Drosophila melanogaster: one gene and its partner. Changing the gene in region 1 together with any one later gene gives a genetic interaction. Each region holds a gene or a part of one and is shown in the gene's direction. Other genes may lie near its edges.

Evidence for each region. Genes that interact genetically often act in the same process or in processes that back each other up.
Region 2: of ss (region 1) and Dll, changing one suppresses a phenotype caused by changing the other (phenotypic suppression), as found in Drosophila melanogaster (one study listed by BioGRID).

What each region holds. Positions count from the first base shown.
Region 1 is NT_033777.3:16,399,865-16,406,662, reverse strand, and holds the start of ss (spineless), read left to right. Parts: upstream 1-2,972; 5' UTR 2,973-3,245; exon of another isoform or gene 3,246-3,267; intron 3,268-4,318; 5' UTR 4,319-4,767; coding exon 4,768-4,823; intron 4,824-6,798.
Region 2 is NT_033778.4:24,812,390-24,818,984, forward strand, and holds the start of Dll (Distal-less), read left to right. Parts: upstream 1-2,432; 5' UTR 2,433-3,047; coding exon 3,048-3,178; intron 3,179-5,204; coding exon 5,205-5,380; intron 5,381-6,595. UniProt on the Drosophila melanogaster protein: Transcription factor that plays a role in larval and adult appendage development. Specifies the identity of ventral appendages (including legs and antennae) and suppresses dorsal appendage development. Involved in patterning the distal-proximal limb axis.

The sequences.
Region 1 (6,798 bases):
AATGACATTTTTGTTTCTGCCCGTTTGTTTGTCATGTTGATAGTGTGTACGAGTTTTTTTCAGCTCACATAAAGGCAGCCATTTTTGGGCCGCCACAAACGGCAATTATAATTGCGGCTACTTATCGGGCGCAAGGTGGGCGGGGGTATAAGGGTTGGAGAAACGGTTGGTCAGTTGCATTTTTCGAAAAAGGTAAACATTGTTCTATATCCCGTTGAAGCTGATTGTTTTGGCGGTACAAGCTCAGATATAACGAATTGGTAAATACCGTGCTTTAATCCTCATCTCATAAGAATCTTAAAAATGATAAAGATATTTTCTTCGATAGCTTTATTTCAGATATCAAGAGACTTTTGATGATCTTTTCGTTTGTAAGGGATATTTTTTACTTTTAGAAAGTTATGAATATAGTTGTGGGAATACTTATACTTTTGAAATTGCTAAGACATAATGAACAGGGGGAAACCTCTTCAATTTCATTCTCCCTTCTCTCCGTGGTCTGATACTCCCTGCGTTACTCTAATCAAAAGGTATGCCCAGATTGCACTTTGTTTACATTTATACTTTATGGCTTTACCTTGTTTTAAGCTCACCGCTGTTGTTTATGTACACAGAATAATTATATTTAATTGGCGCCGCCAATGGATCGGAGTAAACATTATGGGGAAATGCATAATGGTCTTCCCTTCTTTCTGTGGAATTTTGTATATGACCCTTTGGCTGGTTAGCAGCGGAGCTGCACAAAAAAAAAACATTTGTATCTTTTCTGTTCGGTTCTTTTTTTTTTATCGTTTTGCGGCTTTTGTGTCCCGCTAATGTTGTCGGTCTGATATATCGGGGAGGGTTATCCCCTACTTAATTGGCAAATTATATAGATCCATATAGAGTGCTTGTCTAGATGTGATCAGCAGTGACATTGATGTGACCAGGCAGCTGCTGAGCAAAGGCAGCGAGCAAAAACAAGTTAATAAGAAACTTGTTACGAAATTAGGCAAAACGAGGGGTAGATTGCGAAGTGTGGGTCCAGAGTAGAAAGTCGCATTAAGGATGCCGGCGAAAAACATTCATAAGTCCTCATCGGGGAAACGACGTCATCGCGAAATTGTCGGACGAGCAAGCAGTCAGCAAAGAAACCCCAGAATAAATATTTATCATATACAGTGGGATTGTGTATATTTTGTATGTATTTTTTTAGTTAATAATGAGAAAATAATTATTAAGCACATTTAAAAAATCCATTCAGTTCTTATATATATTTTGCTATTTTTTACAGTATTAGGTGTAAGGTCATAATATTGGCCCTCAATTTTAAAGATCAATTGATGACTGTACTTTAAAGCGATAATGCAAGAAGAGGAAAGGCAGTGCAAAATAAGAATATTTAGAGGGAGGTGGAATAAGCACCTGCACTGTGCACTTCTCTTACGAAGTGGAAGCGTAAATTGATAAGCTGCAAGCTGGAAAAAGTTGCAACGCACCAAAACTGGTTGCAAGCCCTTCCACTTTGCTACACTTCACTCCACTCCACTCGACTCAGCTCACTTATTAGTGCCACCGATTGACATGCGCTGCCTTCTGTTTTGCTCATTCTTCGGAGTGGATCCTCTTCTGATTCTCCCGATTCTTCTGATCCTGCTGTCTTCGGAGCTGCTGTTGTCCTTAGTTTACGCAGCGAGATTTGAGTGAGACACCAGACTGCTGGAGATTCTAGCTGAGGAAATATTGTTTTCTTCAGCCTTCTGACTTGGCATTGAATAGTTGCACGCAATACAAATACAGTGCCAACAATTTCGTACATGGCTGACGTCACAATAAAAGAAAAATGCTTTTTCGAAATTGAAGGCATTCTACAGTGGTCATTCGATAACAATAATAATGTTTTATTAGAGTGGACGTAAGTAATCAAATTAGGAAACCACACAAATGAACTACAATGGGCTGCATGATTGAAAGGGCTCGAATATTGTGGCTTTCCAGCGCCACCAAGTATGCAACACGTTTTCAAAGGAAAAAGTTCATAACGTAACATTTCGCCAACTTTTAAAAATAAACATAAAATTATTTGGTAAATCACAGTAATCATATTAATTACAAAATGAATAGCTTGTATAGATTGTTATTAAAGTTAATTACAATTACTTATTAAAAACTTCTTTATGAGTGCCAACTGTACCTTTGACGAGTGCATCTCCATCGCCATCTGTGACATGCGGTCAAAGACGGACGCAGCATATGGGCCATGGGATAAAGGGGCCTCGTACACTGTCCAATCGGGTTCTTGGGCACGGACATTTTGCCCGTCTAGGTGTAGGAATATGATTTCTGGTTTTGTGCAGGGCAGCGGTGTGCATTTCGTTCTCCTTGTTCTTTTGCGGTTGTCAGGTGGCACATGTGAATAAATCATTCGCGATAAGCGCGAAGTGAGTGCTCATGTTTATGGCCTTAATGGTTTTGGTCACACCAAATAAAATTTGCATTTCAGTGGCAAAACGAGGTAAAATCCGGCTCAGATAAGTTTGAAATAGGAGAAGAGTATGGCGGATAGATGCCATTGAGCGATAACACTGATAGCTCTTAATTACCGCCTAATTAATTAAGAGATGAGCGATGTGCCCCGAATTTCTATTTCCAGTTGGTAGTGCGCTGGAAAGAGTCGGCGCTACTAGGCTGTCAGTGTAGTATGTGTGTGCGAACACGCCCCCTATAACGAAACTACAGGGTGCGAACGAGATAGCTGCAGCACTTCCAAGACCGACTTGGTTGGTCGCTCCCTTCCAGTCGCACGTATGGCGACGCTGGAACGGTTGGTAGTGGAACATCGTTCGCTCTGTCTCACTCCCACGCGACCGCGTCGCTTGGCGATCGCTCGTTGCCAGGACGACTGGAAGTGGCCCCAAACACGCCGCCCGCGTGTTCCATGGCCAGTGTGTTCCGCCAGGACTGGTTTTTCCATTCGTTTCGTGGCGCCGCTCAGTTCTTGTTGGAATCTCAAAGCGTTTACGTGGCCGCAGCGCAGCAGAGTCACGTTTGAAAGAGTGCGAGTGAGAGATAGCGACTTAGAGCACCGCGCCGAGTGCGAGTGAGAGAGCGCGCTCCATCGCCTTTGTGCCTCGTTTCAAATGCCCGTTTGTCCGTTTTTTTGGCACTGTTGTTCATTCATTCACTCGCTTCTGGCGCTCGCGTGCAGTTGCAGTCGCTGCTCCCTCCTAACGGTTGTTTCGCCGTCGCCAGAATCCCGCTAAAAGGTGCGTGCGTGTTTGTGTGTGCGTGAGTGTCCCCCGAATAAGGCAATACAACAACAATAGAGGCGAAAACAGAAACAAAAGCGAAACGCAGCACGCGATACCCTGTAACTGGAGGTTCTGTAAAGGCTTCGAGGAGTCACGTGTGCGAATTGCAGACCGCCGGCGGTCATTCACTTCTATCTATTTTACTATTCCAACACACCCACGCGCGCGTGTGTGTGTGCGTGCCTGAAAAATGTCACTTTGACAACTCGCCTCTGGTTGCTCTGCCGGCGGATCTGCCTACGTCGACGTCGATCGTGCCGCAAAATGAAAATGATTTGCGTGCCGTTCTTGCGTTAGCGCTTTTGGTTCCGTGCCGATTTTGATTTCCTCTGTTGCATGCGTCGTCATCGCAAACATCGCCCATTGATAAACCAGAGCCCACGAGCAACAACACTACCAACACAAACGGCAAAAGTGCAAGTGAAAAAGCAAAAGTGTTGCCACGAAAGAACCAAAACAATAACCTGCAAATCGCAGCCACTCGAATCAAAACAAAACAACACAAACAACAACTCGTTTTTGAAAGCAATTGAAAAAGGATTGAGGGATTTTTACAGTTTTCTGACTAGAATGTGCCATTCAAATTAATCAACACTATTGGTTGACTCTGATGTTTAATAACTTGCTAACATAATCTGTTATACTTTTTTAGTCCTTTGTGAGAAAAAATTGAAACAAATTTAAATATATTCTTTTTATGAATAATATATTTTCAAAATTTACCAAAATATAATTTTCAAAATAAAGTAAAGCCTTAATATCATATTATACTATTCTACAATGCAAGGCAAAATCAAATCGTATTAGACAACGGCTCCATGACATTGCCAACTTAAACTAATTGGATTTATTTTAGATAAACTGAAATCATTCTCCGTCGGGACTAATTACTTAAAAAATCTATTAGGTTGAACCGAAGTTATCGCCTTAGAAAATCATACAACCCACAATCGAATGAAAAAAAAAATCAAAATTCCCAGCCTTTCTCAATTGCTGAATCACAGTTTCGCATTAAATCCCTCATTTAGCTCTAACCAACTGAAACTACAGTGCAATATACACAAAAAAATAAAAAACAAAAACAAAAGGAGCGCGAGAAATGAAAAAGCAAACAAAATGTAAGCGTGATGATAATTAAAAATAAATACAAAGAAGAAAAAAACGAAATTTACGCGTGGCTACAACTCCGAAACCGAAAACCGCAGCAGGATCTCAGCGGATCTGATCGCACTCAGCTCCTGGCTGTGTCTGTGTGCGAGTCCGTGTGTGTGAGAGTGTGTACCCAGAGCAAGCCAAATCAATAAATAAAAACCAATTACAAAAGGAAAAAAAGCGAAATAAGAAAGCCACGACGAGGAAACAACCTGTACGACAGACGAGCAGAAGGCAGCAGAAGACAACAACGAAATATTGATACGAAAAATAATAAGAGTTAAAATCATTCACGACGGCGACCATAACGAACTCCGCCCTAGCAATGAGCCAGCTGGGCACCGTCTACGCCACCAAGCGAAGGCGACGCAACGGCAAGAGGTGAGTCCAAGCCCCAGTCCAATCCCACAAACCAATACCGATCCGAATCCCAAGATACAGATACGGATACGGATACAGATTCAGATATAAATGCACAGCGGGAGGCGGAATGTTTGTGGAGCGGGTTCTTGGGTGCTCTGTTATTACTGAAAGATTTCAATCAATGCGATTGGCTGCACTTACCACTTACCAGCTTGCCACCTTGTGGCGCCACCCGCTGACGATCCATCAATCTCCGTAGCTACTGGTCTTGAATACCCCAGATTCGATTATTAATGATCCGGTGGCCACTTTGTTGACAAATTGCCATCGCCATTGACTTTTGACTTGGCCCTCGGATGAAATGAAGGGCGGTGAATTCCCCCTTTGCCGCCCGATAGCCTCAAATTGATTTGCATTATGCATGTCGGGGCAGGTTACCGTGAAATTACAGTAGCCAAACAGTTGATGGAGATGATGATGAACGGTCATGCTGATGATGATGACGATGACGGCGGCCCCTCCGGCTGTTCGCTGGGGGAGATCGGAATCTGCCTGTCCCAAGGTGCACATAATTTCTGATAATTTTGTGTACTTAGCTGCTGCAACCGCACAAAGCATAATGTTTTCAATATAAATATATGAGAACTCACGCATTATCATGAGCAGCACTGCTAAATATGCAGAAGGCGAGGAGCGGCAACTGCAGCCCGGCCACGCCCCCTCGCCAAGTGCAGACCACCGATCGCTAATGTTGCGACCCCCATAATCAAGAGCCACTGATCAGCTTCAGCGCCTCAGTCTTGAAAGGGTGCAGAACGGGGCAGCTCAGGTCTGCGTAGATTATCTTCGGAAAAGCGAAGAACCAGGATCTATTTAGGATAAGCACGCAGTTGATAGATTGGTTATCCAACTCATCTAATATGGCGTGTAATGTTCGTCTACTTAGTTGTAGTCGGATTAGTAAACCAGTTATTAACAGTATAGCTCCATTTCAAAGATACTCTACGGGGAATATTTACTATTAACCGCTTAGCTTTAGTATTAAAATTTTACATTAGATGTTTTAAAAGATTTCGATATAGACCTTATAGATAATAATAACTTTATATGTTATTATGATATTATTTCTATTAAAACTTTACCAACTTAAACTGAAACATTTGTTTGTACAAGGCGTTGTGCACTTCAGAGTAAGTTCCTTGTGTGCAATTTAATTCCCCTTCTCCTTGAATTTCGTTTTTATTAAAGTTCCCGACTACGCCGTAAAACTTCAACTTAATACGTTTCACCATCGACAGGCAGTCGCGTAATTCGCTGTTCTTGCTAGTCTGATAAAGAACAAAAAACGACAAAAAAAAAAAACAATTACGCTTTACTGCAGTTGGCTGAAGAAAAAAAAACAGCAGGGCCTTCGAAGTGCCACCCCGTGGACCTGGTTGTGGGCCTGGCTCAAAGCTGACACCGACTCTGACTCGCTCGACTGACGCAAAATTGTCACCTTGCCTCTCCCTGCTGCAATGCACACCTGCAATTATTCGAGTGGCAGGTCGAGAGCCTCACTCTTTTAGGGTTTTGCGCCGAGCGTTGCATTTGCCCCTCGATCATAGTTTTTATATTTTAATGCCTTTAATGAACTGATCAAAATGTGCTCGCCTTAGCTTCAAGCGGCTCCGTTTTTTAGTGCAATTTAATTGAGCTCCCAAGTGCTGGGAAGCAGCTGCCCTTTGAATTGGGCTTCTCACCCCTAGGTCCTAGCGAATATTACGCATACGACGCATAGACTTACTGCACATTTGGCCAAGTTCATTGTTTGCGTGCAGCTATTTTATTAGGAACTTATCTATTCAATTGCATTTCAGCACTACAAAGTTTGTGCCAGGTAGGAGGAAGTTCCAAAATAAATATATTTGTATGCCAACTTGGTTGATTTCGGTTCGGGTTTTAATAAAGTAATATTTTTAATTAGTATTTATTACAATGTTTATTCTCTCTA
Region 2 (6,595 bases), on another chromosome or scaffold:
CTGTACTGTAGTGGGCGTTCTGGCTGTTCGTTTTCAGTTTTCCGTTGATTTCCTTTGAGCGGCTCTTCTTGGGTTTTCTTGGCCGAAAATTAATCGTCTCATTTGTCCAAATGCCCGCTCTTGGCTTTAATTTGGGAATTAATGTTGTTTGGTAATAAAATCGATTTGGCTTCCGTATTTGCCTTGCTTCGGGAAGTGATTTCTCGGCCAAGTGAGATATCAGAATGGGAAAAGCTTAAGGGCATTCCTCTCTTCCTGTTCACTTATGACCTTCCATGCAATACAGTGGCATTATGTTAATCCCTGACATAATGGCTAAGAAAGGCCGAGAGGCCAGCGGACTAGGTCAATAGGAATGTTGGCGAGATAATTGTTCATTACCTTAATCTATTTGAATGTTCCTAATAAGAGGGGTTGTGGAAATTATTTTAATAAATCCATACTAATACAAAACTTCTGTTTGTTTGGATCGTTAAATTTCAAAACTGACGTTATAATATTTTGTAAGTAATCAGCACTAATGGTGTTCGGGTTTTGAATAATACTCTTCCAAGTCAACTTATAGATCAGATGTCCTATATCTACTGATTTATCGATGTCGCAAGCTCATCTGCGACAGTTGATAAATTAATTCGCCTGACTGATTGACTTGCAAACGTGTTCGCTTGACATATTTGCACGTGTCTCGTGTGGCTGTAATTTGATTTTGATCTATGGCCAATTAATCGCGGCCCAAGAGGGGTACCCGTATTACCATTGGCCTAGTCAAGCACAAACAGCGCAGCCCAGGCGCCTCACTGGGAAAAGGAACAGTAGCTGCAGTGCAGTGGCTAGCCCGGGCTAATCATAATTTGCATTTAATAAATATTTCATTAAGTAATTGCAACAATTACGTGCATTTGCAGTGCTACCTTAAATTAGTGCAGCGCAGCCGACCAGGTCATAACTCGGAACGGCGGGCTCCACAGCCGATCCGATCCGATCCAATCCGGACGAGGGGATTAGCATTTCAGTCGGATCAGGCGCTCAATTACCGCTGGATGCTCGATTTATATTTACTTTTATAAACAAACTTAATTCGATTTTTGTGGCACTCTGGTTCTGGTTAATAGCGCCGCTCCGACTCATGCATATGCATATTTTCCCACTTTCAGCGGAAATCCTTCTCAGGTGACAACTGCCTGCTGTTGGGAGAGGGGAAAGGGGTGGAATGGAGACCGCTTTGCCGCCGCTTCAACTGCCAGTTAGGCTAGGCGGACAAAGGTGGAAATTCCGCTGTTCTCTCCGCTCGGTGACTTTGTCTTGTGAATGAAAAAGTCCGCTCGAGCAAACGGTCCGTGTCGCTTGGCCCTAGCCACAAAGCGACATTATGTGGCCGAAAGGACGCCATTTTGAATTGGGCCTACTCGAGCTCTCTGCCCTCTCTCGAAACGCTCAAGGGGGCGTGGCGAGGGAGTTTCTGCTCTCAGCAGGGGGCGTGCTGGGTGCGCAGGTAGTATGTGTGTGTACGAGTGCGGCTGCGAGGGTGTGTGTGTGTGTGTTTGACAGGTGAGCAGGTTGGCCCGATAGACTGGTTTGTCGCTGCCAAAGGCGGCCACTAGGTGGCGCCACAAGTACCAACTCCAAGGAGGCTTTAAGACTCCCTAGAAAGGATTTTCAAATTAAAGGTTCCATTAGAAAATGATAGCAGACCTGTCATATATACCACGCTATGTTGTTTGTGTGCGTAGCGTTTTTTCCTTACAAGCAAGCCCACCGATTGTAAAACGTAAACAAATCATTAAGTTAATTCGTCTGTTGTCCGCAACTGTTGATTACCCGTGGAAATGCGTGTGCCACAGTTTCGATTGATCCGAAAATAAGACCCGAAAGGAGCAGCGGCTAAATAAGAAGACAAATTATAGGTTCAACAATCAATTTAATAATTGAGACCTTTGCATTTAATCAACATTATTTAAAACGTCAAAATATTTGCACTTTCCACGGGCAGTTCCCCCTGGAATTTGCATATACACGCCGTAAGTTCCCCAAATCCGTGGGGACGCGGGGCGACAGGCCACGCCTCAATCTCGATGCGGGCCCTAGACCTAGACAAAGTTGACGAGTTGAGCGGCACAAAAACGGGGTCCCAGAGCCCAGCCCCACCCCCGTGCACCCGGAACGGGGAAATTTATAGTATTGGTGCGGTTTCTGCACCACCATACAGAGACACCACCGAGAAAACCGGTTGCAAACCACCCGATTGGCGACGCTCGGCGAGAGTCACTGCCAGCGGCTTGGGCCTCAGCAGCCGTCCCGCTCCGACGCACGGCGATGGATGACATCTGCGCCGCTCGCACACCACTGCTACAGAGCGGCAAAGCGGCACGGCCGCAAAGCGACAGCGCAGCGAGTCGAAGTCTCGCGCAACCGCGCCGCGAAAACCTCACCTAGTCGTATACGCACTTTGTTCGTGTGCAGTCGTCGCCGCTGTTCTCGCCGTTGAATTGCCGTCGTCGATCCGTCGTAGCGTTTTGCGCCTTGCGTTTCTGCGTCGAGCTAAGTGATCCGTCGCGGACTATAAAGTGATTTGTAGTGATCTGATCTGATCTGATTTGATATGAATTGATTTGATTGATTCGCAAAACGGAGTTGAAAATCGTGAAAATCTACAAAGAATATGCACAGCCAGAAATCGAAGTGATACAAGAAAGCAATTTCGAGTGAGTTGAGTTGCTAACAAGTTGAGTGTCAGTGCTGAGAAAAGTGCCTCCTCGCCATCTGAAAGGATTTACGCGCTCAACAGTTCCGCCAAATCAAGTCGCCGAACTGAACTGAAGCCAAGACATTGTGTCCTACAAAAACCTTAGATACGCAAGCCACACACTCCTACTGTGCAAGTATAGCTGATCATTGCCATCGGATCTCTGAGAACTTCCTTCCCGCGCGCATCCCCCTGAACAGCCGTCAAAATTCTTGATAAAGTGGCCTCAATAGGCGCCAACACGCTCAATTTCACGGACCTAGGGAGCCCCTACGAGGGGCCTCCCAGCACCCCCCAGTCGGGCATGGACGCCCCCGACGCCCCGCACACGCCCAAGTACATGGACGGCGGGAACACGGCGGCCAGCGTCACGCCCGGCATTAACATCCCGGGAAAGTCCGCCTTCGTGGAGCTGCAGCAGCACGCCGCCGCCGGGTGAGTGTCCCCAAGATCAGTGGAGTGGAGTCACCGGGAGGATTGCAGAAAGTGTTTCGGCGAAAAGACTCGATCCCCTCCAGACTTCAGCCCTGCCAAAACCAAACCTATCGGAACTCAATCTCAATCTGTGCGGAGCAGTTGACACACCCGAGAAAAAAGGAGTTTGTGGCCAGGGCGTTCCCAAAACTCGAATATGAATCTTTTTAATGAATCTAAAGAGCGCTATACGTACCATAAAACCATTTGGTCTTTAAAATCATTTCATTCATTTCAAGGGAAAAAGTTAGTTGGCATAGGACTACAAGCTGCATAATTGCATAAATAGATAATATAGTACATTGACATTACAATAAACAAATTCAATTTTTAATAATAAATAACAGTTGGTAAAAGCAAGCAGTTAAATAAAGTCAGGTTAACTCAAGAGTATATTGTCTAAGTAGTTCATATAACTTTTTAGGGTCTTAATTACTGATTACATTACAATAGCCAATAGTCTTATTTCGATCGATACATAAATTTTACTATTAAAAAACTTGTATAATTATTAGTTGTCTTAAAAAATGAAAGCAACCAATTGTAGATTTATGAATTCGTCAATGTAATCCAAAGTTAAAAATTATTTTGACTTCCATAAAAATGTACTTCTAAAGTAACAAATGTAGTATAAATTCGAAATCACAATTTTAAATTTCAATTTGCCAATTCGCCATTTAGCCTTCTCTAGGCCCTCAGCCAAATCGACTAAGACTGAATCGATGAAAGTTGCCGTCAGCTTTCCATCTTTATGATACTATTTTCGGGATCGATTTCGCGTTGGGGTCTCGCTATACTATTAGTTTTGATTAAGAAAATCACTTCAGCTGCACTTTCCGGCTTACAGTTCATGCTGGTGCCTGGCTGGCCGGCAGCGGAAGCCAAAAATAAATTCAATTAAGTGTAGTTTACTCCCGGTCCGTGTTCTAAATAAGCGTCTGATCCGGAGGGTTCTGTTCCTATCCAACAACACGTTCCTCATGGGGTAGCAATAAGTCGGGCTCGGTGGTCTGTTTACTGTTACCGCTCACTCGGCGAACTGTTTGCAGCCGCAAATTGTTTTCCCAACGCACGATTCGATTTTTCATTATACATATTTTATTGCATTCTTGGTTTTGAGCCTTGCGGTTTCCACTGCTCTGTCATTTGTGCGTGTTGGGCTCTTGGGCTGGGACGGGACTTGGAATGCTTGGCTGCGCCGACCAGCCCTCGGGAGTTGTTCCTGGCCACGACTTTTCTCCGTCCCCGGAGTGGCTGCCATGTTGTTCGCTGTTCGCTGTCCGCTGTCCGTTGTCCGTTCTCCGTTGTCCGTTGGCCGCTGTCCGTTGCGGTTTCTGCTGCTTTCGGCCCGCTTCCGTTTCCGTGTTTGAGGGGCCAGGAGAGCATTGAATATTTCATGCAGTTCGCTCGGAACATAATGCATGGGAACTTGCTCAACTGTTTCGCCCGCAAAGTGTTAACAAAATATTTACCGCGAGCGAGCGGGACTGCAAACGGAACTGCGGACCAAACCGAAACTAAAACACAGCGACTCTGACACTCGTATTGATTTTTCTTTGATATATTAAGCCGCATCCAGTTCGGGCTTTGGATAGGTTTTGGTTTTGTTTTTGGTTTCGGTTCTGGTTTTTGTAAATGAAGTCATGGCAAAAATTTCCTTCCTCTCCGCCAGCCTAATTTTTTGTTGTGAGAGAAAAAGTTTTGGTTTCGACGCTTCTTGCATTAAACATGAAACATTTTGGGCCCACTTTTAGATATTTTCCCGACCGAACGCTCGTCCTATGCTCGGCGACGTTTGAATTTAATAGTGAATAGTGAAAAGTGTAGACAAAACACGCAAGTAGGAAAAGTTTTGTCCCCGGCACGATTCATTCACATTCACAGCCGGTGTACGCCACTTCCATTACTTCCACTACTTCTTCCACAACTGCCACAGCTATATTACAGCCCCGTATTGATTATTTTCCGTGCATTTGCGGCATTCCAGGTACGGCGGCATCCGGAGCACCTATCAGCATTTCGGACCGCAGGGCGGCCAGGATTCCGGCTTCCCCAGTCCGCGCAGCGCCCTCGGCTACCCGTTCCCGCCAATGCACCAGAACTCCTACTCCGGCTACCATCTGGGCAGCTACGCCCCGCCCTGCGCCAGTCCACCGAAGGATGGTAAGTACTGCTCCTCCTTATCCGATCAGTCTCAGGCCCAATCCCAGTCCCAATCCCATACCTACTCTCCCAGAGATCCGGGTCTTTTGTTGAGAAAGAGATCTTGAAAAGATCTCGCTCGTTGCTTCCCTGTCTATTTTTTGGCGACACTTCAACTCGAGAGCTCAACGCCGTCGAGAGCCATTGTGGTCGCCTTCTGCGGGCTTTGTTTGCTCGTTCACTTCAAGTTCGACTCGTCTCAATTAGGCTGCCTTCACTGTCCTCTTGCTACTGCGCTGCTTTTCACTTTTATCAAATTTCAATTTCAATCGGCTATAGATCGAAGATAAAGATATCAGACTTCATTGTGTTTATACGCCTCATTATAATACTTCTTTTCTCGTAGATCTTCCACTAAGTTGTTCTTTAAAGGTCTTTTTATTTCACACTAATAAGTTAGAAGGCTATGTAGATTGAACGCTTCATTGGAAACTTGCTTAATTTATAAAGACATCTAAGTTGACACAAGCTCTTTAATACGAATAATTTAATGTACACGTACTAAAATCGAAAATGCCAGGTTAAGTTTTAGGTAAAATATAATGCACGCAAGTCTTTTTTTTTGACATTTATGTTACTTTTCCTTCCCATGAAACGTATTCTATTGAAATTGTGGGACCTCTGGAAGCTCTTTGTTGCTCATCCACGTACGTGCAATTTTCCCATTTTATTTATTTTTACATCTCTCTACTTTTTGTGTGTTCTTTATGTTTTTTGGAACATTTTTCCCAGTCTCTGGCATAATTGCGCGCTTGACTGTGACAACTCGTTGTTGCTGCGATGCGGCTGTCTCTCGTATTTGTTGAACAATTTGTTGCTATTTCGATGCGTTTTGGTTGAGCAGTTTTGCTTTTCGGTGAGTGAAAAGCAATTCATTTTTATCCATTGTCGGGGATGTGAGCACCGTCAAAAGCAGTAAAAACAGTGGAAACATTACTAACGACAACGACAGCGCCAACGCTTCAGCCAGCCTCCATTTGTTGTCTTTGACTTTCGTCACTCATACGCAACGTGGGCCAATTAACCTTGGTGCACTTGCTCTTGAAACCGCTCACTTGCTCACCGTTTGGACCTGGCTAAGAGATCTGCAAAACAGTTGATCGTTAGAAGGAATCCCCATGTGTTTGTAATCATAATTGCTGCAATTAGGCTTTCGTTAGCCTTAATTAATTACTC